Astyanax mexicanus: one gene and its partner. The protein of the gene in region 1 interacts with the protein of each later gene in a pairwise test. Links are inferred from orthologs where the notes say so. Each region holds a gene or a part of one and is shown in the gene's direction. Other genes may lie near its edges. The genes, in order: lemd3 and smad9.

Evidence for each region.
Region 2: the proteins of lemd3 (region 1) and smad9 interact in binary tests that used the Homo sapiens proteins (3 or more experiments, as listed by UniProt). The link is inferred for Astyanax mexicanus from reciprocal best matches to the Homo sapiens genes LEMD3 and SMAD9.

Annotation. Positions count from the first base shown.
Region 1 is NC_064409.1:10,896,974-10,910,023, reverse strand, and holds the start of lemd3 (inner nuclear membrane protein Man1), read left to right. Parts: upstream 1-7,126; 5' UTR 7,127-7,174; coding exon 7,175-8,603; intron 8,604-11,650; coding exon 11,651-11,691; intron 11,692-12,034; coding exon 12,035-12,104; intron 12,105-13,050. Other genes in the region: wif1 (wnt inhibitory factor 1), read right to left, coding at 320-428, 5,173-5,315, 5,489-5,630.
Region 2 is NC_064427.1:39,536,266-39,549,315, reverse strand, and holds the start of smad9 (mothers against decapentaplegic homolog 9), read left to right. Parts: upstream 1-6,396; 5' UTR 6,397-6,500; intron 6,501-8,234; exon of another isoform or gene 8,235-8,598; intron 8,599-9,767; 5' UTR 9,768-9,937; coding exon 9,938-10,349; intron 10,350-10,712; coding exon 10,713-10,967; intron 10,968-11,161; coding exon 11,162-11,272; intron 11,273-11,511; coding exon 11,512-11,733; intron 11,734-13,050. Other genes in the region: alg5 (dolichyl-phosphate beta-glucosyltransferase), read left to right, coding at 337-452. UniProt on the Homo sapiens protein: Transcriptional modulator activated by BMP (bone morphogenetic proteins) type 1 receptor kinase. SMAD9 is a receptor-regulated SMAD (R-SMAD).

The DNA of each region.
Region 1 (13,050 bases):
GAAACTAGGATTGCGTCCTAGTTTCATAACACACAAAATTAAAGAATGGTGAACTTGTGTGTGGGTGCACTAACTTTCCAGTACAACCAAAACAGATGTAATAATTGCCAAAAAATCTATCTAATAAATTGTGGCGTCATGCTGGATATTTCTATACTGTAAAAATTCTTATTGAACTAAAATTTTTAATAAATAACTGGAATGGACCATTATTTGATTCAAACGATTTGAGCTAATAAATAAGCCAAGTTCAACTGCTTTTTACCACATGTTATTTATGTAGGTTTTATTCTGTTTTTGCAGTGTAGTGCTTATTCACCTGAAGCTTTGTGTGGGACAGATCCCAGCAGCGGGACGTTGACGATGGGGTCGTCCATGATCTCCTTGTCGAATGAGCGCAGAGACTGGAACTCGTAGAAATACTCGGCCTGCGGAGGACAGAGACGTCGTCTTTGCTCTTTCACCTTTTTTAAATAACAAAAGTTTGCAAAGCCTCTATAGTGGAGGCGTGGGCCTCCAGTGCCCTGCCGCTGAAGGAGGGCGATTGGGGCCAGCAGAGGCCCATTGAAAAGAGATTCGTAAATTCAATTACGCTGTGTAAATCATCCCAGCGGTGGAGACACATATATCTGCGGGGAGTGAATGGGAGCGTTTGGTTTGTGCGTGTGTGTTTGTGAATGGGTTTATTTACTCCGAAATAGGATGAGGCTTTCCGGCCTAAATAATGCTCTTCAACCTTTGAAAATTACATCCCTGTCAGAATGGCCGTGACAGCGGGGCAAAACACACACACCACAAAAAATGTCCCAGAACGAGATGAAAGCAAAGGACGTGCGGCATTCTCTCTCTCTCTTTCTCTCTCTACTGCTCCCTCTTCCTTTTCTCCTCTCTAGGTTTCTGGAGCATGGCGGCGTTTGATGAAGGGAAAAACACACAGGCCGTGTGGAGAGCTTTGCTAATCCTACCGCTGAATGGTAATAACCAACACAGATAACTCTCGCCGCCAGCCTTTTATGCCCCAGGCTTTTGTTCTTAAGCCTCAGCGGCAGGCTTTGAAGTGTGGAGTAACAGAGCTGAGGAGAGAGTGGGCCCTCTCTTTCTCTCACTCTCCCTCTTTCTGTACCTCTCTCTTTGTTCTGTACCTCCTCTCCCTTTCCCTTTCCAGCCCCACTTCTCTCTCTCTTCTCCGCTGGGTCGACGTGCCATTTGTGGATTATGATCTCAATGTGCACGGAGACATCGTTAGTGAAAGCGAGATCCAGAAGACAAGCTGACAACAAGAAAGTGAAGCGCACAGGCCAAACACACAGACAAACAGACTGCAGTTCTGTTTCATCTGCAATTTCTATGTTGAAGACTCCGTAAATGCTGACTCCAGTCTCTTAAACTGAACGTAAATATGTGTGATTCAGTTTCTGAATCAGTTTCTCTGATTTTGCTATTTATAGGTATATATTTGACTAAATTAAACATTGTTGTTTTATTCTATAAACTACAGACAACATTTCTCCCAAATTCTGAATACAAATATTGTCATTAAGAGCATTTATTTGCAGAAAGTGAGAAATGGCTGATATAACAAAAATGATACAGAGCTTTCAGACCTCAATTAATGCAAAGAAAACAAGTTCATATTCATAAAGTTTTCAGAAATCAATATTTGGTGGAATAACCCTGTTTTTTAATCACAGTTTTCATGCATCTTGACATGTTCTCCTCCACCAGTCTTACACACTGCTTTTGGATAACTTTGTGCCTTTACTCCTGGTGCAGTTCAGCTTGGTTTGATGGCTTGTGATCACCCATCTTCCTCTTGATTATATTCCAGAGGTATAATTTGGTAAATTTGGTAAAATCAGAGCTGTATGTGTAAACAGAATGGCGCACACAATGTAAATCCAAAAAGTGATTTTAACATTATTGGTAGTGCTGATTAAATTACTGTTTTAATGCAACTTTCAAACTGACATTGTGCATCATTACATATAGAACCTGTCTGAGGGATCTCAGTAGATACGCTTGTGATTTAGTCAGGAACCTGTAGAACTTTAATGTGGCAGTGATTTTAATATTTAATAAATAAATTTCCTAAAATATAAGAAGGTTATTTTTGGACTTTCTTCAATATAAAAGCTGCTGAACGGTTGAAAGAATTGCAATAGAAAATCTCTCATATGTTTAATTAGATTGTTGAGATTTTATTTTAATTTATTTGATTTTTTCAATATTACCCAGCCCTATTTTGTGGTGTATCAATCAAAACCTGTTGAACCCGTAACCACAGCTTTAACTTATTTTTTCATTTAACCTGCATACATATCTTGTCATCTACATTTAAATAAATGAGTATGCAACAGGGCACTTTAACAATGAGCAAAGTTTTTAAACAAAAGTAAGTTGAGTTACATGAGTATTTTTGTTCATTTTAACATTTAAATTAGATCTTTAAGTTGCATCAACCATTTAATATTTTAAATGTGTCACAGGCACACTCAGAGTTATGAACTGCATTGATGTATATGGATCACATCTATGACTTTTCAGTTGTTTCCACAATCAATATTTAGTACCTTCAGTACATTTTACTTAAACTTAATGTTTTATACAACTAAAAGTGTCTTAGGTCTCTGAACCTGTTCAGTTTGAATGTGTACAGACTATGGACCTGTTGAATGCCCTGGTCTACTGGTAGACCCCCCCCCCCCAAAAAAAAAAAAATCAGTAGTCGAGAAATGAAATATATATGATACTAGCATTCTAAAAGTCAAGATCCCCCCCCTCCCAGTTGAACGTAGGTGCCAATCAACCCAATACACTTAGCCAGGAGAAAGTTTTGTGACCAAACTGTGAAGCCCCCAACAATACCCCCAACAACAGCAACAGTAGGGATTACCTAATGCATGCCATGTCTGTTTATGTACTTACTTCTATAACCCATTGTGGAATCATACAGGAATAGTAATGTATCTGCTATGACATAGTGATCATATTGAATTAATCATTTTTCAGCTTTGAAGTTCCTTTTAAAGTTCAAAGAAACCAGACAGTGCCTGGGTCTACACTGTAATCAGATATGGTGTAATTATAATTGCTCAAATTTGCAGAAATGAGACGTATTAGAAGCTAATAGATATTTAAGAAGGAGCTGCTGCTCTGTTTAAACACTCATTCAGCCAGTAAACTCACATAATGATGAAGTTTCAGAGCCCACAGACCATGTGTAAAGGAGGAGTAGGGAGGTCATTTTAGCCACCGCTTATTACCAAACCAGTGATGGATAGCAATGAGGATCAAACATGCACAGTGCCCCTTCCAAATAGAGTTTTGGCCTTAAAACATGTCCTGAGGCCTGTGTGTGTGTATATGTGTGAGTGTGTGTGTGTGAGAGAGAGAGAGAGAGAGAGAGAGAGAGAGAGAGTGTGTGTATGTGAGAGAGAGAGAGTGAGAAAGAGTGGAGCATGTTTCAGTGGGCTGATGGCCCAGATGTTTGGCACATGCATGCAGAGGCTTTGATCCGAGGAGGCAGCTCCACCACACCAGCACGTAAAATACCGCAGGACATGGACATTACAATAGCACCAGAAACAGGGGAGCTCAGAGCCGCCTTCAACAGGTCACCGCTCAGCCTTCAGCACCTCATACCATATTACTAAAGATAAGCTCGCACACTGAGGAATCACTACAGGCAACACACACACACATACATATACATAAATATATATTATTTGTGTTATTTATTACAATTGTATTATTTTTTTATCATTTATTTGTAACTAAATCCAAAGTATAAATGTCCTTGTATTATTTTAGACCAGTTCAAATATATTAGACCAATTAAAGAACATGTATAATTAATTTCATGAAATTAAATGTAATTTACATGATTTACAAGTTGCAAATAATCTACAGGAAAATAATATCTAAAAAAAAAAGTTTCCTGGCAGCAGTGGAGCCAGATAATATCTATATAAAAACTGTCATTTTCTGTAAGTTACGGACCGGTGAGTTACCTTTTTTTTTACATACTTTTTCTGGCACCACTGCTGCCAAAAAAATTAAAAAAAAAATTTACAACAGAAATTTTAAAACCTATGTACTTCACAATCACTCGCTGTGACTTTCTGGAAGCAGGGGTGATGGAAATTTTATTATTACTTTTTTACATATTATTTTCCTGCACCCTGCTGCCAGAATTTCTTTTATGCATTTTTCCAATATTATTTATTGTATATATATTATATATACTACAGGAAGATGGATGATCACAAGCCATCAAACCAAGCTGAACTGCTTGAAATTTTGCACCAAAAGTGGCATAACATTATCCAAAAGCAGTGTGTAAGGCTGGTGGAGGAGAATATGCCAAGATGTATGAAAACTGTGCTTTAAAAACAGGGATATTCCACTAAATATTGATTTCTGAACTCTAAAACTTTATGAATATGAACTTGTTTTCTTTGCATTATTTGAGGTCTGAAAGCTCTGTATCGTTTCTGTTTTTTGAGCAATTTTTCATTTTCTACAAATAAATGCTCTAAATGACAATATTTTTTTATTTATAATTTGGGAGACATGTTGTCCATAGTTTATAAAATAAAAAAAAAACAATGTTTTTACTCAAACATTTACATTTAATCAGGGACACTGATTCAGAAAGTAAACGGTCTCTTATTTTTTTCAAGAGTTGTATATACAACTGTAATTATGTGTACATTTACAGAAAATGTTGCTGTTTTTTTATTAATAAATACATTCTTGATCAAATAGTCAAATAAAAGCTGTTAGAAGACGGCTAATTCATGTATTCAATGTATAATATTTCGTTCTTTGTAAATCACAACATCACAAGATTTTTTTTTACAGGGAAATCCTATAAACCTATTAAAACATACTAAAACAAAGTAAGCAAAGCCTATAAAAACTTTTTTTTCAGTGTAGTTTCTTAATGTGAGCATGCTTTAAAAAACATATTGAGCTTTACTCAAAGAGCTGCAATCACCACAGCTGCACTTCAGTAAGAGCCCTGTGACTATAATGTTTGCACAGGTGTTATAACAGCTCCATACCAAAGATACATTCTTTTTACATTCACTTTCTAAACATATTATAACACTGCTATTACAGATCTAAACAGACTGACCTCCATAATACCTCTCAATATATTCTCCATACCTGATCATCAGTGACCTGCCAGGTGAAGTTCACGTGGTGGATGTGGACAGGTATGGCGGGCATGCGCTGCTGGGCTTTTTTAAAGTCGTGTGTGAACGGGGCCATTTGTCCTTCTGACACAATCAAGATATCCTCCTCGAAACCTGTGAAAGAAAACATGCCAGAACTCAGAGCTCCTCTCTCTCTTTTTCCTCCTTAAAGCCCAGCAATATCAACCTGCTTACATGATCAAAAAATAAGTTTTAGAGTTTGAAACCCCCTCAGAAGATCCAGGACCTCCACACTGCCCCACAGCATCACACACAGAACTATTTACCTATCAGTATCCTGGCCTGGTTGGCATCAATCCACATGTACAGGCTCCCCTGCTCGGGGGCAGCTCCGGCTGATAAAGCTCCCAAAAGTAGAAAAAAGTAAGTTTTCAGGCAAGACTGGAGAGCAGGAGACCCCCGAGCCATTTCGAACGACCCCTCTGGATGCTGAGTGAAGAGCCGGGTTTAACGTGTCCCTCCTCGCGCTGAAATCCCGGTTTAAATGTATCGTCACCGCCTCTGGGATTGACAGACTGAAATGTCTGCGCTGCTTCGCAGGGCTACTTGTAGACGCCGGGACCTGCAGTTCCGAGCGCCCGCCACACGGTGGCGTGATGTGCCAGAACAGGACCACAACATTATTATCAATCTGCTGTTATAATAATAATAATAATAATAATAATAATAATAATAATAATAATAATAATAATAATAATAATAATAATAATAATAATACAGAGTTTAAATGTTATTATTCCGAGATTAAAAGTCACACATTACAACTAATTTCTATAAAGGTACAATAATAATAATAATAATAATAATAATAATAATAATAATAATAATAATAATAATAATAATAACAATAATTCCTGATTTTTGCACCAGGAGTGGCATAAAGTTATCCAAAAGCAGTGTGTAAGAGGACACAAAATGCATGAAAATTGTAATTAAAAAACAGCATTACTCCACCAAATATTGATTTCTGAACTCTTACACCTGAATATGAACTCTTTTCTTTGCATTATTTGAGCCTGCGTCTGCATCTTTTTGCTACTTCAACCATTTCTCATTTTCTGCAAATAATATTGGAATTTAGGAGAAATGTTGTCCTTAGTTTATAGAATAAAAGAGCAATGTTCATTTTACCCAAACATATACCTATAAATAGCAAAATCAGATAAACTGAATTAGAAACTGAAGTGGTCTCTTATTTTTTACAGAGCTGTACATAAGAAATATTTTGTGAACACTTTGAGACCATTCATTAAAATATAAATTAATTTCATGAAAAAACTAAGTTTAATTGTCATTAATATTAATAATTTGTCATCATCTTAGAATAAAATGTATAAAATAACAGTACAAAATCCTAAGTGAGGGAATATTGGTCCATGAATTAAGATATTGAACTAAATTACTTAAATAAACAATAACATTTAGTTTAAAAATCCTTGACATAATATTTTTTTATTAACATGGATCATTTCATATGTTCTGTACATAACTTACACATAAAAGCACTGGAAATATAATAAACTTAATCTTAATCCACTTAAAACCCTATTCTATTAGTAGTTGTTTTTTCAGAGCTGTATGGCAAATTAAAGGGAAAAATTAAGATGATCTTAAATGTGTGTCCGATAGTGTAAAAAAAAACTACATAACTAATTATTCTGTGTGAGGGTATTTTAGTCTATGACTTAAATTATACATATTTTTTGCATCTTAACTGTGCTAGTTGGTGAAATAACACGGCTAAAATATATGTATATATTCTTATTATTTTTTTATTGAATACAGGGCTTTATTTGTGTGTTTTGTAGTGGGTTTTGTGGTGATTTTAGTCTGTGGTGGTGATGTAAACGTTAATCTGCTGATCATTCCGCTGCTGAACTTCATCTGCCCGACTTTACTGGCTGCTCTTGCGTCACTTCCTGCAGCGCGTCCTGTGCGAGTTTGGTGTGAAGATGGCGGCGGCGCAGCTAACGGACGAGGAGCTTTTCTCCGAGTTAAAACAGCTGGGCTTCACTCCCGGCCCGGTTACCGAGAACACGCGGCCTGTGTACTTGAAGAAGCTGAAGAAACTACGCGAGGAGCAACAGCAGCAGCGGTCTAGGGGCAGTAAGGGGCGCAGCAGTGTCGGTGGCGGCGGTAGCAGCAGCAGCTTTAGCAGCAGCATCAACAACAGCGGCGGCGGTAACGGCCACCCAGCGGCGGGAGCTGCGGCCGTGCGCGCCAGGCCGGCTGGGGGCCGCCAGGTGCTGAATGCGAAGCGGTCGGAGCGGCCGGGAAAGTTTGTTTTGGGCTTTAGCTCGGACGAGTCGGACGCGGAGCTTCCCCAGCACAAAGCAGGCCTGAATCACAGCGGCTCTAGGAGAGAGCGGGGCTCCGGGCTGGGGCTGCAGCCGCTGAGGCCTCCCCAGGAAAGTGGCGCCGGAGTCGCCCACAGAAAGTCGGCTCTCGGGGTTCTGGAGGGTCGGAAAAGTAGCCTCGTGGCGGCGTCTGCGTGGTGGGCAGACCGGGGTAAGGCGAGCTTAGGGGAGTCCCGCTCTAACCTGGCGTGGGATGAGGATTACACCCAGCTGGGGAAGGAGAACAGCTTGGAGGAGAAGCAGAAGGAGACCGAGAGGAGCAGTCGGGCTCTGAACGGGAGCAGGACACAGCCTTACACAGCGCTCAGTGGAAGCAGCAGCAGTAAGCTGGCGGGGGATTACTCAGACACAGACGAAGAGGAGGAAGAAGAAGAGGAGGAGGAGGAGGAGTTGGAGGACCGTGAACGCCAACGCGAACGTCGTCTGCTGCCCAGGAGAAGCGTATCCAAAGCCTCCCCGTCTCCGGCCAAAAGAAGAGGCAGGGAGCCGGATGAGGAAGACGACCAGGAGGAGGACGGGAGGTCCGCGGGATCCGGGAGATCCAACGCAAAGCGCGATGAGTTCGATCTGAACCGCATTTACACGAGGCCCGCTCGCTTCAGCTCCGGCATCATGGGCGAGAATGGCGGGGACATTGACAGCAGCAGCAGCAGCCCCAGGAACCACGTCGACGGCGGGCAGGGCGCGACCACCAGCATAGGCAGCAGCAGCTCCTCGTTTAGCCTCGGCCTCAGACCTCGATTCTCCTCGTCGTACAACAGCCTGTCAACGACTTATCGACCCAACCATTCGAACCACACCGGCTCGAACCACAGCTACGGGCAGGCTTCCACCAAACGCAAGCAGCCAGCCCCCGAGGACGAGCTCCTGGAGCAGTTCCGGAGGGAGGAGGCGTCTGGCACCGGCGGCTTCAGCGCACACTACCTGTCCATGTTCCTCCTGACCGCTGCCTGCCTCTTCTTCGTGCTGCTTGGCCTCATGTACCTGAGAATGAGGGGTACTGGGTCCACAGACGAGGTCGTCAGTAAGTATTAAAAAAATCCTGATTAGATAATTGGTTTGAGAACAGTGAGTTTGTTTGATGTGCAGACAGATGTGTTGTAGTAGTGACTGAGATTCATTCACAGTTCTTTTCTGAGAATGTTTCCCAGACACAGTTTAAGGCCAATGCGTATTGAAGATCTTAGTCTTATGCTGAACTGAATGGAACTGGTGGGTGAAATTAATTTAGCATCTGACGTACTAGTCTTCTTTGTAGGGCTGCTACGATTATTCAGTAAAATCGCCAATGTCGATAATCAAAATTGCGTTACACAAACTAAGCGGGACAGAAATGCAGTGGAATCACTCATACAGTTTACACTCATAATGATCTGTCACTCCAAAAAGTGCCTAAACACAGTTACAATTAGATTGCATGTTTACTCATTAAATATCAGAATATTTAATATTTAAACATAATCTGGGCATTTAAAGAGCACCTTTACACACGTTTAACAGTTTACTTCATTTTAAAAGGGATGGAAATAATTGTTGACTAATCAGGAAAAAAATAGTCCACAATTTAGCCAATTACCAAAATAATAGTTAATTGCAACCCAACTTCTGGACTGGAACACCAACATTGCAGGTCAATCCATTGCAAGAATGATCAGTGACAACTATAAGGTGCTACACAAAAAAATTTAGTAACATCATGCTTTGAGTTAAGAAGATTATGTTAACTGAGATAATTTGCAAGCTTTAATATTTTTCACCAAATCTTTTCAGTAGTCACAAAATGTCAACAGTCCAACCTGATCTTGATATTATTAATGCGCTCTGTGTAACAAAAATTGCTTTAAATTAAATTAAATTGGATCGAAATAATCTGCTTGTGATAAAGTGTGAGCAGTGTACATTAGAACTTCCTTTTGAATCAGGGAAGTTATAATATGACGTGTGGGTTATGTTCCTTTTTTGACTTTTGTACATTATGCAATGTGACTATTACACATGTGCACATTGGGATTGTCTCAAAACAATGTATTGTGCAGCCCTAGTAAGATTTAAGTAACTTTCATTGCTTTATTTCAGAGATGCATTCACTGATACTCTACTTCAAACATGTTTGTTTGTTAATGCTTGGTTTAGCTCCTTGAGTTTTCTTTAGACTGCTTAAATAAGCATAGTTGTTAGTCAAAATGATTAACCAGTGTTTGTGTTCTCATGCATAAGACTGTTATGTGGTCAGTGCTCATAAGACCCATGTATGATGTTTAAATGAATGTCTCATTTTGTTTAGAGCTTTCAATGGAAAAAAAATGAAACTGCTGAAATTGTCTAGGACTGAACCTGACCTCGAAAGCCTTTAAATGACTGTGTTTGCTATCCCAGTCAGACGTGTCAGACACACACGTTACCACTTGTCACCCTGAGCTGTTCGCACCCTCAGACAGGAAACAGAATATGCCACTTTGGCCTGCATGAAGGGGTGGCATTACCATCAGAACAGGAGCGAAACACCCCTTAAGGCAGTGGAATGTGTGTGTTCCACCTCTCCATCTGCCTTGTGGTATGACTCGCGCTCATTGTAGGTGCCCTGTGTTCACCTACCACAGTGCTGCAGTAATGAAATGTTCAAAAGAAGTAGAATGAATCAGTAAGTCAGTGTAGTATAATTGTGTGTTATCAGCTCTGCTTGATCTCTGAGCATACCAGCTTTATACTTGAGTCATTCCTTGGGTCAGCTTTAGGTTTTCTCAGCAGAGGAAGTGCTGTGAACTTCAGTTTAGGACAGTTCTGTTAGCTACAAAAAAAAGTTCCTCTGTGAAGTTGCTGCTGCTGCCTGCAGTTAGACTGGAAAATAACAGTCTTTAGCCTTGCTAGTATGTGGAAATTCCTCACAGCTAATGGCCATATAGTTTACATTTAGGTTAAGGTATGTTTAGTCTTCTAAACATGAGGGAAGGATGTGAACCAGTACCCACACCATTGTGATAAGCTGGAGGCAGGCTTGACACTGCAGCAGTTGTAGTTTTGATGTTTAACGGTGTAGTAGTAGGCCTAACGTTTTTTCTGTCTAGTGCCGCTATGGCAGAAGGAGCCAGTGGGTGTATTACGAAAGCCTGAGTGTGTGGTGTGCCCATGGAGGCTCTCGGGGAGGGAGCTTTGCGTGAAGAGCGAGTGGCAGACATCTAGGTCACAGACGAACTAAAGCGGCCTAATTGTTCGTCTCTCAAGAGACCTGAGAAGTCTGTGGCCAAAGCTAAAGTGATTGACTGCTGGCTGGCTGCCTGACTGCGTCCAGTGCCACTTACATCAGATGTTTGCTGTATGGTGTGCGTATTATTGGGAATGGTTGTGTAGCGATGCAGGGGTCCTCCTGTTATTTTCTTACTCCCAGTTTCTTTTCTGATACATTCAGGCAGGACATTAGTGGATACTACCATACAATTTCGATACTCGTGGATTTCAGGGTGTATGTGATGTTTTAGGCACGCACCAATATGAGAATTGGAGCCATTTCTGATTGACTTTTATACATTTATCTGCCAGTCTGTATGTTTACGCAAGTGTTTAAAAGGTTTAAAAACTGAAGTTGTTTCCATAAAGTTAAAACTGCAGATAAAGGTGTAAATAAATAATTATCATTTGAACAATTTTATCTAGTGTTACAATGTCTCAGAAGGACCAAATGAAACACACAAATTGAACTTTTGTTCAGCTCAAATTGTCTCTTTCCCCTACTATTTATTATACAGAATACTCAGTGCCCTGTGTTTTTTGTCTTGACCCCATCCCCAGTCTTTCAGAGAACTAGCATGTCTGCAGGGAGATCTGTCTGTACTATTTCGTGGCTGATGAGAGGAATGAAACCAATTATGTTCTCTAGCAGACAGTAGGACAAGGGTGAGACACTCAAATGCTCCCTGCCACTGCATGTGTCTGCCCTCAACAGACATGACTGGGAAATGCAGTCCTGCCTTTGCTTGGAATGTAATTCTCTCACCAGGCTAAGCTGACTTTAAAAAGCTTATAGCTATTACTGCTGTAAAAGCATCCGCTCTTTTTTTCTTTTTTCTTTTGCAGTTAAGACCCACCCATTCGGTGCAGATTTTGACAACGCATATGTAAGTACCTAGTGTCTTTGTGCAATCTTTGCTGGTTATCTTTATAAAAATCTGTAATCTTTTTTTTTCTCTTCAAAAAATAGATTTTAAAATGAATTTACATTAGAACAACTAAAAATGTTTTGCAGTGTTTTGAGGTGCTAAACAAACAATTTGTTTGCTAGAAATATGATACATTAATTTTTTTGGTTTGCTTTGATTGAAAGCTGGTATGTATAGCATCTTAATAATGTCAGACTAATGGGCTCACTTAGTTAGTAACAATAGAATATCCTGGTAGAACTGGTTGAGTCGCCAGAAATATGGTATCTAACACAACAGTGCTTTGTTTTTTTCCTTCTAGACCAACAGCGAGCGAGACCTCATTCTCAGCCTGTTGCTTCACCTGCACAATCATCTGTCTGATATTGCAGGTAATTTAAGATTTCAAATGCATCCTGTGGGAGTTACTGTAAATATGAGCCTGTTTACACCTGGAATTAACATTTTGTTTTTTGGTGATCGGGACATGTTCAGGATTTACTTGTCTGCATGTAAAGTTGGGTATATTCAAGGATCTTCGGTTTGAGTTCAGGATGCTTTACCATTAGCAGGCAGAGTGGGAAGATGGCGCTCTTCTAATGTGATGTTGGTCGGCACAGGCGTCCGTTAGCTTGTATTGCTAGAGGCTGAGCTGAGACACTGTGCCTCTTCCCCAGTGCTCTGGCTACCCAGTGATGCTACGTCAGCTACAGTTCAAAAATAGCTGGAGGATTACTTTATAGGCCTTAGTATGCAAGGGCTAGACATCACCCTCCTATTGTACTTTTATGCATATTTACCAGCAATATTAAAGAGTTTGATCTTTTGCAGTCTAAATAGACTTCTGTTTTCTGATTGAGTTTTTTTTGGCAGTGTTAAAACTGTTAAACATGTTATGTTCACCATCTAGAGCATTTCAAACAAAAACTTTGAAGGAGGGAAAATTAAAGAACATGCTTTAAGCCCACCTTCCAATCTTGCATCCTATAAATACAATTTTTCTAAATACAATCTTTTTCACGTCTTCATGACTGTCTTCCACCCTTCACAATCATTTTTAACTCACTCATATCTCTCCTTCTTGGCTCCACTAATCAGAGATGGGGTAATGGCTTCGGAGCAGACACCACCGTAACTCCATCACAAAGGTCTTCTGAGTTCTCTCCATCCTGTTCAGTCTAATTACAAATCATGTGACTGATGGCGTGGTCCGAAATAGCAAACAGGAAGTAAACATAAATGATGTGCATTTTGGTGTGCTTTTTGTATGTAAAATTGAATCTACTCTGTTTTTTTCAGGTAGTATTCTGATTCAAAAAGCCCAATGCCAGGTGTAAA
Region 2 (13,050 bases), on another chromosome or scaffold:
GCTAACCCGGATTGTATCCAAAAAACATAAAACCACGGCTGATCAAATCACGCAGAATTCAATGTGCACCTCAACTCTCCTGTTTCCACCAGAACCCCTAACCCCTGTAAATAACAAAGTTTAATATTTTTGCCTATTCTTATTTATGCAGAAGTATAGAACATTCTGAAAGGTTCACAAGATTTCAAGCATCACTGTATATTAGTAAATGTTTTGCATTTTATGTCATTTGATATTTAATTTATAGCATTTTTCTGTTTTATTTTTTGTTTTCATTATGTTGTTTAGCTGAATGCCCTATAATCCTTATTAAAACTTGTTTATTGCTCTTTTTAGGGTCAAAGCTGGTGCCGTTTTGGAGCTGGCTACAGATGGGTCGAGATCTAGTCTTCATTAGACTACGTTACATCACTGGTGCCTGGAAACTGGAGTCCCCCAAAAAAACCCAGTAGCCTTTGCTGCAGTTGGCTTGTGCATGCACATGCAGTGGATCATAGAACACCCATGCCATCCCCACAGCTGGCAGACAGCGGCACAGTTTGCATCATAGTGACCAAGAATACCACGCTTTGTGTCAAACTGTGTATTAATCTGATATTTTTATTATGTCACGATTTTGCCCAGGTGTACTGTAATTTTTTCCATACATTTTTGCTGGGAGGGTCCTGAATGATGTGTATAGATTTTCATTTAAAGAACACTTAAAAGTGTTCAGCCAAATAAATGAACATTTAATATATATTTTTTGATGTTGTGTGCTTTCTCTCCCTCATATATCTCTTATTTAAGCTGCAGTTGCCTTAAATGTCCTGTAAATACTGATGATCTACTGTTATTTAAGGTGGCATACCCTGGCTGGTTATGGGCGGGACCAATAACAGACCGCCCGCTCCGCTCTGCAGCCTGTGACCTCGAGGCAGCCCTCAGAGGCGGGGTTATTTAAATGAGTAGGCTGCTCTCCACAGTCTTTCTCCCTCCTCTGGTCTCTACTGCGCAGACACGGGTTTCAGGATCGCCAACATGGAGGAAGATTTTGGCTTCATTTTCATTGAATGAATGGGAACAGCGACACGGCGTCCATCTTTTTTACAGTCTCTGGTGTTAACTAGTTGTCCTTGTAGAACACACTATGCCATCCAATCTACAGCATAGAATAGGGTGACCAAACGTCCGTATTTCCCGGGACATGTCCGTATTTCACGTCCTGTCCCGGGCGTCCTGTTTTTTTTTTTTTTTCAGAAAGTGAGGAAATGTCCTGGTTTTTAAATTACCTTGATTGGACCAGAGAGCAGTAGACAGCGTGACAGTCAGCGTGGAGCCCTCCCTCTCTTCCAGTGCAGTATCACAGTAAGAGCACACACACAATGCTATCTTAATCATTCTTACTTAGAATTTGTACCTTATTTTAAGTAATTTGAACTCAAATTAAGCACAATCAAGCAGCAATCAAGTTATTCTGATTCTTGTGTCCAAAAACAGTGACTTGATTTAGGCCAGGGGTCTCAAAGTACCGGCCCGCGACGAGGTTTCATGCGGCCCCTCATGGGTTAACAAAATAAGCATACATCTGGCCCCCAATTCAATTTAATTATTTATGCTTTATTATGTTTGTTTTTATATTTTATCTTAACTTGTATTTTGGTGTGTGTGTGTGTTTTTAGTTTTTTTTGCTTACGCTGCGTTGCCTGCTTTAATAGTCTTCAGTAGCCTTCAACAGTCTAACCTTGCAGCCGTGGTGTGTCCATTAAACTCCGTAGTTATAAACATCCTGAGGTTAGCAGCGCGCTAACTGACCTGTTTATAATGTAATCCGAGCAGTGACACTGTGACGGCTGCTCAAAAGTGCTGCTGTTAGCTGCTTGGGCTGAAATATGAACTGTAGAGAGCTGTATTATCCGGTTAGTGGGGTTATTTTATTTCATACACAGAAGAACTTAAAACTTTTAAAAACGCTCCAGACTGGCTCAGCTGAGCCCTGTAGCCCGTGGCTGGGCTGTAGCTCTGACTCAGTAAAGACTGCGGGCTTGTGCTGCTGCTGCTCCCACTAGTGGTTGGATGAGGAACTGCTAAATCTGAGGAAATGCTAAATCTGTCACATGTTCTTAATTTTTGATTTTATATTTATTAAGCCTTATTTCAGTATCAAACGTTTTGATCAAAGTTAATATAACTTGTATTTTATGTAATTTCTACGGTGGCCGAGAAAGCCCAACGCAGTGCAAATTGAAAAGCGCTGCAAAAGCACAAAACACATCCATCAAAATTACAACACAGGCGCAGCAAATAGAAAAACGCGCTGCAACTAGAAAAACGCGCTGCAAATAGAACCACAACACAACGGAAGTGAGTCACAACACAACGGAATTTTCCCGGGGGACCTTAAAAGATACTGTACCAGCTAAGCTGCGTCTTCAGTAACGTCTCGGACTTCACTATGTGTACAAAGGACAATAAGTGGCAAACAAGGCGTTTTGTGAAGCAGAACTTTTAATAATATGCACACAACCGTGGTAATCACAGGTAATAAACATAACTTACTTTTCAGAAGCTTGTTTGCCACTTATTGTCCTTTGTATACAGCTGGTACAGCATCTTTTAAGGTCCCCCGGGAAAATTCCGTTGTGTTGTGACTCACTTCCGTTGTGTTGTGGTTCTATTTGCAGCGCGTTTTTCTATTTGCAGCGCGTTTTTCTTTTTGCAGCGCGTTTTTCTATTTGCTGCGCCTGTGTTGTAATTTTGATGGATGTGTTTTGTGCTTTTGCAGCGCTTTTCAATTTGCACTGCGCTGGGCTTTCTCGGCCACCGTAAATTTCTATTCACTTGACTAGTTTGGTTCTTGATTGATGGAGTTTTTGGATTTCATAACATGACAAATTAAAAGGATTTATGTTAATAGAGCAACAAGCAAACATTTTTTCCATGCAACTGTAATATTTGATTGAATAAATAATATATTGAGAGTTATTTAACATTAAGGAGTAATTACATTCATTTTATATTACATCTGGTTACATTTTCTTATATTTATAAGTTACACCTGGCCCTCAGAGAACAGCCAATATGCCAATGTGGCCCTCGGCCAAAATGAGTTTGACACCCCTGATTTAGGCGATACTTCACTCATTTTGAGACTTTGCCATTGCTTTTTGTAAGAAATCTTACTACGAAAATTTTGCTTACCCCATTGGCAGATTTTTTGCTTAATATACATATATTTGTCTTAATTTGCATATATTTTGTCTAGTTTTTGCAAATGGATTTTTAGCAGTGTATGAAGCTGGTGAGAAAGCCTGCCTGACTTACTCTAGTGTGATCTGTACTCACAGTCCAGCACTGTGCAGCTCGAGAACACCAAAATGGGCAGGTCTGCCATTGGAGCCCCAATCTCTTCATACGTGAAAACTGGTTCACACTAAGAAGGTGACAGTGGCTTGCAAAAGTATTCATACCTCTTGAACGTTTTTCTCATTGTGTCACCGCCTAAATGTATAAGCGTGTTGGGGCGTAACCACTGCTGCAACATTACAGATGTGGTGATGAAATTCACGTACATGAATGAGCGTAATTCTAAGTTCAGTCATTCATGGGTTAATGATCTTGGTTTCCACTGATTGGTGTTATGTTATTTTTGTTCTCAACTAGTTTCATCATTAATTTATTAGGATACAGTGTGTGATTTAAGTGATTTATTATTTGGAGCAGTGTATATGTATGTAAAGTTTTATGCGTTTGGCGTGTACTATTTTTACTTTCAATAAAACAAGGAATGCTGTTTACTTATTACCACCAGTCTGCTCTGCACCCTGGGGAACAGCATCCTGCTTTCTCCCCCTCTTCTCTCTCTTTCTGTCCCCTCCACTCTCTTTCTCTCTCCCACACTATCTCTTTCTTCCTCTCCCGATCTTGTTCTGTCTTTCTCTCACACTCTGTTTTTTTCTCCTACTTGCTCCCTGTTTCTGTCTTTCTCTCACACTCTCTTTTTCTTCCACTGTTTTTTTTTCTCTCTCTCTCGATTCGTCTTTCTCTCCCACTCTCTCTCTGTCTTTCTTTTTCACTCTCTCTCTCTTTTAGAAAGAAAGACAGAGGAAGAGACATAAAAGAGGGAGTGGGAGAGAAAGACAGAAAGAGAGAGTGACCCACTCTTTCTCTCCCACTCTCTCTTTCTGTTTTTCTCTTCCACTTTTTTTGTCTCTCCCACTCTTGTTCTGTCTTTCTTTCGCTCCTGCTCTCTCTTTCGTCTTTCTCTCCCACTCCCTCTTTTATGTCTCTTCCTCTGTCTTTCTTTCTAAAAGAGAGAGAGAGTGAAAAAGAAAGACAGAGAGAGAGTGGGAGAGAAAGACGAATCGAGAGAGAGAAAAAAACAGTGGAAGAAAAAGAGAGTGTGAGAGAAAGACAGAAACAGGGAGCAAGTAGGAGAAAAAAAACAGTGTGAGAGAAAGACAGAACAAGATCGGGTCTTTCTCTCTCTCCTTCTGTCTCTCCCGTCTCTCTTTCTGTCTCTCTCCCACTCTTATTCTGTCTCCTTCTTTCTCTCCCGCTCTCTGTCTTTCTCTCCCACTCTTATTCTGTCTTTCTCTCTCTCCTTCTGTCTCTCCCACTCTTGCTCTGTCTTTCTCTTTCTCCTTTTGTCTCTCCCGCTCTTTCTTTCTGTCTTTCTCTCACACTCTTGTTCTGTCTCCCTCTCACTCTTATTCTGTCTTTTCTCTCCCACTGTCTCTCTCTCTCTCAGCAGTTCTTGTGTAATCTATCTTTCTCTATGAGATGTAACCGGTATTATATTACTGTGTAAATAAACGCATTACTGTCTGAAAGGGTGAGTCTGAGCGCAGCTCGGTAAATGTCAGGGTTCAGGTTTTCAGGTCGTGTCTCGGTGCTGCTGTGGGTCCTGATTAATGGGGCCGTTGCACCTTGACGGGCGGCCGTTAGAGCCGTTAGAGCCGCTAACCGTCCCCGTATCATTTTTCATCCTCCTCTCCCGTGTTTGAGCGGTGGAGCAGCGTGTCGTGTCCGCTCTCGTTATTGGGAGCTGTGCTCGGTTCCCCTGCAGTTGCTGTAAACTGTGAAAATGTCAAACTTCTAGACTCTCTGTCGCCATCCAGGCTTGCGTCATTAACTAGTCTGGTCACTGCGCGCACACGAAATCGAAACGTATCCATCCGCAATGAGGAGCGCTCCGCAAAATAGATCCATCGATAAAACTCCTGGCACCCCGCCAAGTTGTGTTTTTTGTTATTTAATTCCCTGCAGTGAATGACTGTGATATAACTGCAGAGACTCTCCATACAGTAAATATAAAAGTATATAGTTACCTGGTTAATTAACTAGAACTGGGTTATATTTTATATTTATTTAGAGTTAGTTTTATCCATCCGCTTAACTCTACATGATGCTATCCTTTTTGAACAGAGTATCAGTATTTACGGATCTAACACGGGCTCATCATAAACAACCGCTTTAAAACAGACTGACAAGCAAAAATGGCAATCAAGGTCCTGAAAAGTGTAAAAATCCTGTGCCGGGATTTCGTTCCAGCTGCCTGGGCGGCTCTGCTGCAGCTCGGCTGTTTACGCGCCACTGCGGAGCCGCCCGGGCAGCTGGAACGAAATCCAGGCGGAGGATTTTTACTTTCTGGACCTGGATTTACCACATATGCTGGCAGGTGTAGCATTAAGTATCATGCTGATGGTATTTTTGACTTTGAACCTTTTAAATTTATTTAAAAAGTCAAAAATTAACGTTATTTTTTTTGCTGCATTACCTATTTTAATTTAATTTTGATAAAAAACAACAACATTTAAACAACCTTTATTTAACATTCCCTATCAGGCATCAGTTAGTCTTGAAATTCTGGCATTGAAACAATTATCAATTTCAAAGGCTTTAAATGGGCCTTTAGAAACTAACAATGCTTTCAGGCGACAGGTTATCCCTTCATAATACTAATACTACTAAAAATAATAATTACAATAATAATCCTATAGCATGTGTTGTGTTGTTGCAAGATACAAAGGCTTTTAACAAAATATATATGTATTAACTAACTTAAATTAACTAAAGTTCATGTATTTATTTGTGTATTTATTTATTTGTAAATCTATTTTTTAAATTAAAATGTAATTGATTAGACATACTTTTAATATATGGGCCTACACACTGCAAACAATGATACAAATAAACAAAAATACATTCCAATGGGACACACACACACACACACACACACACACACACACACACAGCTCGGCTCTTGCTGCAGACCAGAGACTGGGGATGAGCCCAGTGAGTCCAGTTGTATGTCAGGAGGCGCTGGGCCGGCTGGGAGAGTTCCAGCGCTGCGGATGAATCGTGCACGAAGGCGCGGAGGCTCCAGTCAGGCTGACGCCGGGCGCTGCTGCTGCCGTGGAGTCCAAACACGCGCTACACCTCCAATCAGAGCGAGGCTGGAGCGGCCAGGCAGAAAACACGGCGCCGCGCAGAGACAGCAGATAAAAACAGGAGAAAAGGTAAGAAAAACTGCAGCTCTCTCACACAAACACACACCTGCACTTTTATCAGCGTTTTAATAAGTTATTTTACTGAAACGCACTGTTATAATTACAGTCTAGTGTTTATTAACTCTAGTTTAACTTTCATGTGTATTATGATGCCTACTGCCCTCATATGGATAGAAAACCTATACTATAACTTAAATAACTATATTAGCTGTTAACTAACTAGATTTACCCAACTTGGTTAGCTAGCTCATTAATACACATTTTGTTTTTACACAGTTTGTTTTACTTAATTGCTCACGCCTCCTTTCAAATTTTATTAATTGCTAAATAATTACTTAGATATGTTCTTTATTTAGATCTCATTCTTTTGCAATACTGAGTCATTATTTCAATATATATTTTTTTCTTATGGAATGTAAAAAGGTACATTTTTCATTTTACACAGCTGTATTCTGTGTACATCCACTACTACTAGTAGCACTTTAATTTACACTGCATCTATCAGACTTTCCCATATTATACAGCATTCTGCCTCATGCACTTCCCACTCAACTCATTCCTTACCTGCACTTAGTCATAGTTATTCTGTCACCTACTGCACTATTTCCTCACTTCCACACACACACACACACACACACACACACACACACACTAGATATCTGCATAGTCTACATCTGTGCAATATTTGTCTATAGTGTCTATATGTTTATTGTTGGTATATTAAGTGAATTGTGTATAAAGCTATCTGTTTGTATTATTTTATATTTTAGTTTAATTTAATTTAATTTTATTTTATTATTCTTCTTGTAAATATTATTCTCTGCACATTGGTGGGAATCTGCACCTACGTTTTCCACTCACATGTACACCTGTACTCTGTGACGTGACAATAAAAATCTTGAATCTTGCACACAGATACTTAATAATGGGTTGTGTTTATGTTAGGTGGCGGGAATGTGCTTCCATAGGGTGAACTTGTTGCTGCTTTAAATGCTTCATCCTCTCACCAGAGGAGGTGTGGTGCTGCTGGAGGCTTCCTCTCCTCTCTGACTGGAGACGATGCTGCTGCTGCTGCTGCAGTCTGAGATACAATCCTGCTCTAGCTTTAGAGAACCTACAGAATTAACCTGTCTTTTGTAGTGCAGTGGTTAAAAGCAGAGTTATTCCAGCTGTGTGAGAGTATTGTACAGTATTATTGGAGTGTATTAGGGCTGCAGCTATCGGTTATTTTAGTAATCGAGTACTCTACTGAAAAATCGATTCGATTAATCGAGTAATCGGATAACGTATATTTGCTTGCCTTTCTTGTAAGTATTAAGTATAGGGAATAAATCAATAATAGAGGCATAAACATGGATTGGATAAGATCGCTGCATTCTTTTCCCACAAAGTCAGTGGACAGGGGATGTTTTCAGAAATACTTTAAGACCTGTGGAATAACTGTGACAACTAAAGTATTAAAAATGTTTTTTTTTTGTTTTGTTTATTTACGTTTAACACTACTCAGATCTAATTAGTTGACATAACTAAGACTAAATGACAATAATACAGTAAGTTCATGGCTGTGTATTACTTATGCCTTACTTTAACATGTATTTATTTATAAACTCCACAGCGCTGTGTTTACTGATTACATAAAGTCTGTATTAAATCGAGAAGTATTTATAATACTACACAGTGCTGTCGTTATGTTATTAAGCTACACTGATGGATGGTTATTGATTTGTTATAAGTTAAATTTACCTGCTCTCTCTCTTCACTCCAAAATCCTCCGTCTTCTCCACCTGCGTCCTGTGCCTGGGTGACGTAACGCTAAGCGCTGTTTCACATTAAAAGTCCTCGCTAAATTCCGTGCTTTGAGTTAAAATTAATTAAACGATTCCTCGAGGCACAGAAAATTAATCGATAATTTTTTTAATCGAGTTCCTCGATTTACTCGAGTAATCGTTTCACCCCTAGAGTGTTTTTGTAGGTGGAGCTGTGTGATAGTGTACACGGGGTGATTAAGCCTATCTGAGCTCTCAGACTGAGAGACGCCGGTTTCATAAGGAGACTCTGCCTGCGAGCTGAGTGCAGCTCCTTGTATTAACCTTTACTTTATTGTTTTTCTTTCTTTTCTTTCTCATTTTTCTCTCTTTCCTCTTCTCTTCTCTACTATGTATCTATTATTGTTTTAAAGGTAGAGGTGCATAGTAAACAGTAGCCTCATAACCAGTCCTCGTATAGTATTTCAGACTGCACTACAATGTCTATCTATCTATCTATCTGTCTGTCTGTCTGTCTGTCTATTTCATCACATTTCACCAGAAAGCAGTGACTCAATGTGTAGTGAAATTAATAATGTATTACTAATACCCAGCTGGCATTTTAACGTTGAATCAACGATGATTAACGTAGATGTTATGGTTGAATCAAGGTTGGATCAACTGTTGATTTTGAAAAGTGAATCAAGGTTGATATATCAAATGCAGGCATTGGGATTGGGAAGTATCTTAAAAAAATACCAGCTCATTCAGACTAATGGGGTCACCTTGCTAAGTAAATACAAAAAAATAAAGTAAAAATAAAGTAAAATAAAGTAAAAAAATCAATTGTTTAGTAACTTGATATAACATAGCTATTGTGACAGGCCAACTGACCAGTACACTTTAATGTTTAAAGTAAGATTTTTTCCTTTTGCACTTAAGCGCTAAATCTAACAATAGTGTTACCAGAAAGGCTTTTTTTAATTACTTGTTAGCTCAATAAAATGTTCTGTTGAACTATTCCTGTACTCCTCTCATAAATGTGGTATTTGGTTCACTGGCTGGTGAGATGAGTCAGGTGTGGAAGAAGAGAAAGCGCAGAAACATGAGAGGCCCTTCATTCTTTTCAGTTGATTCAGAATTTCCAAAGAGCCGTACAGACAGCTTTGCCCTGCTGTTCTCTGATTCCACTGACTGTGGATCAGGTTTATTTTGATTCATGGCTGAATGAACCGTCATTAGGTGTGTGGCAGTGAGGAGCTTTAGATCCTGCTGAGAGCAGAAGTCTCTCAGTGATGCTGCTGAAGTCTCAGCAGGGCTCTAATGAGGTTGCAGTGTAATGAGGAGAGGAGTATCGGATTCCAGCACAGAGAGAGATTTTCATAAATGCTTAGGCCAGTTCTCTAACCTATTGTTCTTGGAAATCACATTTATATTATATTTGAAGGGCAAACAGTGCCCGCCCTCTTTTAGTGCAGTCAGTTGTGGCTTCTCCTCTTAAATAACATGCTGCTTTATGTTTTTTCTCCAGCAAAGAAAAGGAGTAACATCCAGACTGTGGGTTTCCCAAAGAAAACATCCCCATTGAGGGGTTCACCGTCTAGTTCAGCTGGATCTTGGCTGAGAGGGATTAGAACAGAAAAACTCTTTAAGAGACTCTTTATTTTCTCCTCAGCCTCTGTGGTCCTGCACCTTGCACTGATGCACTCCACCACGTCCATCACCTCCCTGTTTTCTTTCACCAGCCCGGCGGTGAAGCGACTGCTGGGCTGGAAGCAGGGAGATGAGGAGGAGAAGTGGGCCGAGAAGGCTGTGGACTCTCTGGTGAAGAAACTGAAAAAGAAAAAAGGAGCAATGGAAGAACTGGAGAAGGCATTGAGTTGTCCCGGTCAGCCCAGCAAATGTGTGACCATCCCACGTTCACTAGACGGAAGGCTGCAGGTTTCCCACCGGAAGGGCCTGCCTCACGTCATCTACTGCCGGGTATGGCGCTGGCCGGACCTGCAATCACACCACGAGCTGAAAGCCCTGGACTGCTGCGAATTCCCATTTGGCTCCAAGCAGAAGGACATCTGTGTGAACCCGTACCATTACCGGCGTGTGGAGACACCAGGTACCTATATGAATCTGATTTCTTCAGTATCGTTTGTTAATGATTATGGCAGTTAATGGTTATTAGCATTTGCAGTACTAACAGACTGCAGTATGCAATAATAAAGCCAATAACAGTGCTACTCAAAGTGTGGCAAACTTAATTGTTCCATAAATCGTATTCCTGGCAGCATTGGTCTAGAGTATGTAATCATCTAAGCATCTTGCCTAGCATGAAGTAGAACTGTATGTGGCTAGATTACTAATATATGAAATTGTGCAGGCCTACACAATACAGATTTGTTTTATTATCTATCTAAATGAATCTATATTAATCTCTCTCTCCGGTCTGCCATCTTCTTTTGCCCCTCCCCACAATTCTCAGTTTTACCTCCAGTTCTGGTTCCTCGTCACAGCGAGTTCAACCCTCAGCACAGTTTACTCGCCAAGTTCCGCGACGCATCTCTTCACAACGAGCCGCTGATGCCGCAGAACGCCACTTTTCCTGACTCCTTCCCCCCTCTGCCCTGCACCTCTTTCTCCACCTCTCCGTCCAGCTCTCTGCAGTCCCCCACTGCACACAGCTACCCCAGCTCTCCCAGCAGCACAGGTGATCCCGCAAGCCCCTTTCACGTCACAGGTACCCAGTTCACTGTCAATAGCGCCTGTAGTAACATATCTATAAAATAGCAACACAATAGTGATTATAATTTTAGCTATAGGATCAAAATTGCATGTACAGATTATTTGATTATATATATATATATATTAAAATGATAAATATTACAGAAAAAGATCATAATATTTACTCTTTATTCTTTGGATTGAAATCAGCAGAGACCCCACCTCCGCCATACAGCATGATGGAGACCACTCCACCTGAGGACGTAAAGCCTGGAGAACCCTCCAATCCTCTGAAATTAACCCTGTCTACTCCACACAGAGGTACATCTTTTGTTTCTTAACTCTGATTTTGGAGTAGCCCTGCCCTGATACACCTGATTCAACTCTTTCAACTCTTAAAACTTTCATAATTAAACACTTTTAAAGCAGGGAGAGCAATAAATCGTGTGGAACAGAAGCTCCAACAGTACCAGTATGGAAAAACAATGGTCTAGCTTATTTACACAAGCAGTAATTTACAATGTGGTAGAATGACATAAGATTGATTTGTTTTTCTTCAGATTTGCGGCCAGTTTGTTACGAGGAGCCGCAACACTGGTGCTCTGTGGCTTACTATGAACTCAACAATCGAGTAGGTGAGACTTTCCACGCCTCATCCAGGAGCATCTTGGTGGATGGTTTCACAGACCCCTCCAACAACAAGAACCGCTTCTGTCTGGGACTGCTCTCCAACGTCAACCGCAACTCCACCATCGAGCACACCCGGAGGCACATAGGCAAAGGTGAGTCTGTTGTTTTGAGTTATTAGTCTGGGACAGCGTCATTGAGTATCAAACATTAACAGCTGAATTGTTAACATAGGTTTAAGGGGATACCACATAGTTCACTACACTTTATTTATGTTGTTCTCCTCTCTCAATCTTTCTGGACACCTCAGTGTAGGAAACATTAAGATATTGAGCAGAAATAATTATGCTAACTTGCAGATTGGACAAAATCCACACAAATGGTAAAGAACCATGTGTGGATGTCACATCTAGCCTACTATGTTTGTGTGTGTGTGTTTGATAAATGAATCTAAAGAAACAAAAGCTATGAGGATATGCACTTAATAATTGACAGTAGGGGTGGGCAATTTTATATCGTATACAATATATCGTGATACAGAAATATCATGATATTAAAAATCCATATCGTGATAATAGGGATGTTCTGTCTTAAAAGTAGTCTATTATTTACTGTGAAGCTTTAAGTGTATTTATTGTATAACTGTTTTAGTTTATAGTTTTTGTTTGTAGTTTATATGCATGAAAATATTCTGCAATATTATTTGCTGCATTAAATTATTTTATGCTATATTATTTATTTTGCCACATTATGATTATACTGTTATACTATTATACTATATTCCTGAAATTAATTAATTATTTTAGTTTTCCTATATCGCCAAGTATATCGTTATCGCAAAAATACCCTGAAATATCGTGATATTATTTTAGAGCCATATCGCCCACCCCTAATTGACAGGCCTTGTTTGGCGAGTCAGGTTTAGCAGGGTGTTCAGCTCCACAGTTACTTAGTAGTGATGAATTAGGCCAGACAACCAAATACCACAAAACTTGGTAATTTATAATAGTATAATAACAGTTTGTGATGTTTTAATAACACAATCTTGTGCAAAGGGAAAATTAAGGCTCTCTGTAATATCGTTCCACTGCAATGTTAATTCAGTGACCACAGAGAGAAAAAACATTGGCCTGTGTGTGTGTGTGGCGCCAGAGAGTGGTAGACACTGTGCTTACGGCTCTCAGGAAGACGGGGGGAGTACACACACTTGCCAAATGTTGGCTTTTCTCCTGCTGTCTGATTGTGCTTGCAGAGTGACTAAAATGGGGAAAAGTAAATGTTGCCCAGCAGTCTCAGGGCACTTACAAACGCACTCTCTCACACACACACACACACACACACACACACACACACACACACACACACACACACATTCTGTCTTTCATGGACGATGTGAAAGCTTGCCAAGTGTTTGTCCTATCGACATGCCTGAGAGCCCCTTTGCATGGAGTGACACAAACCAGAGCAGCATG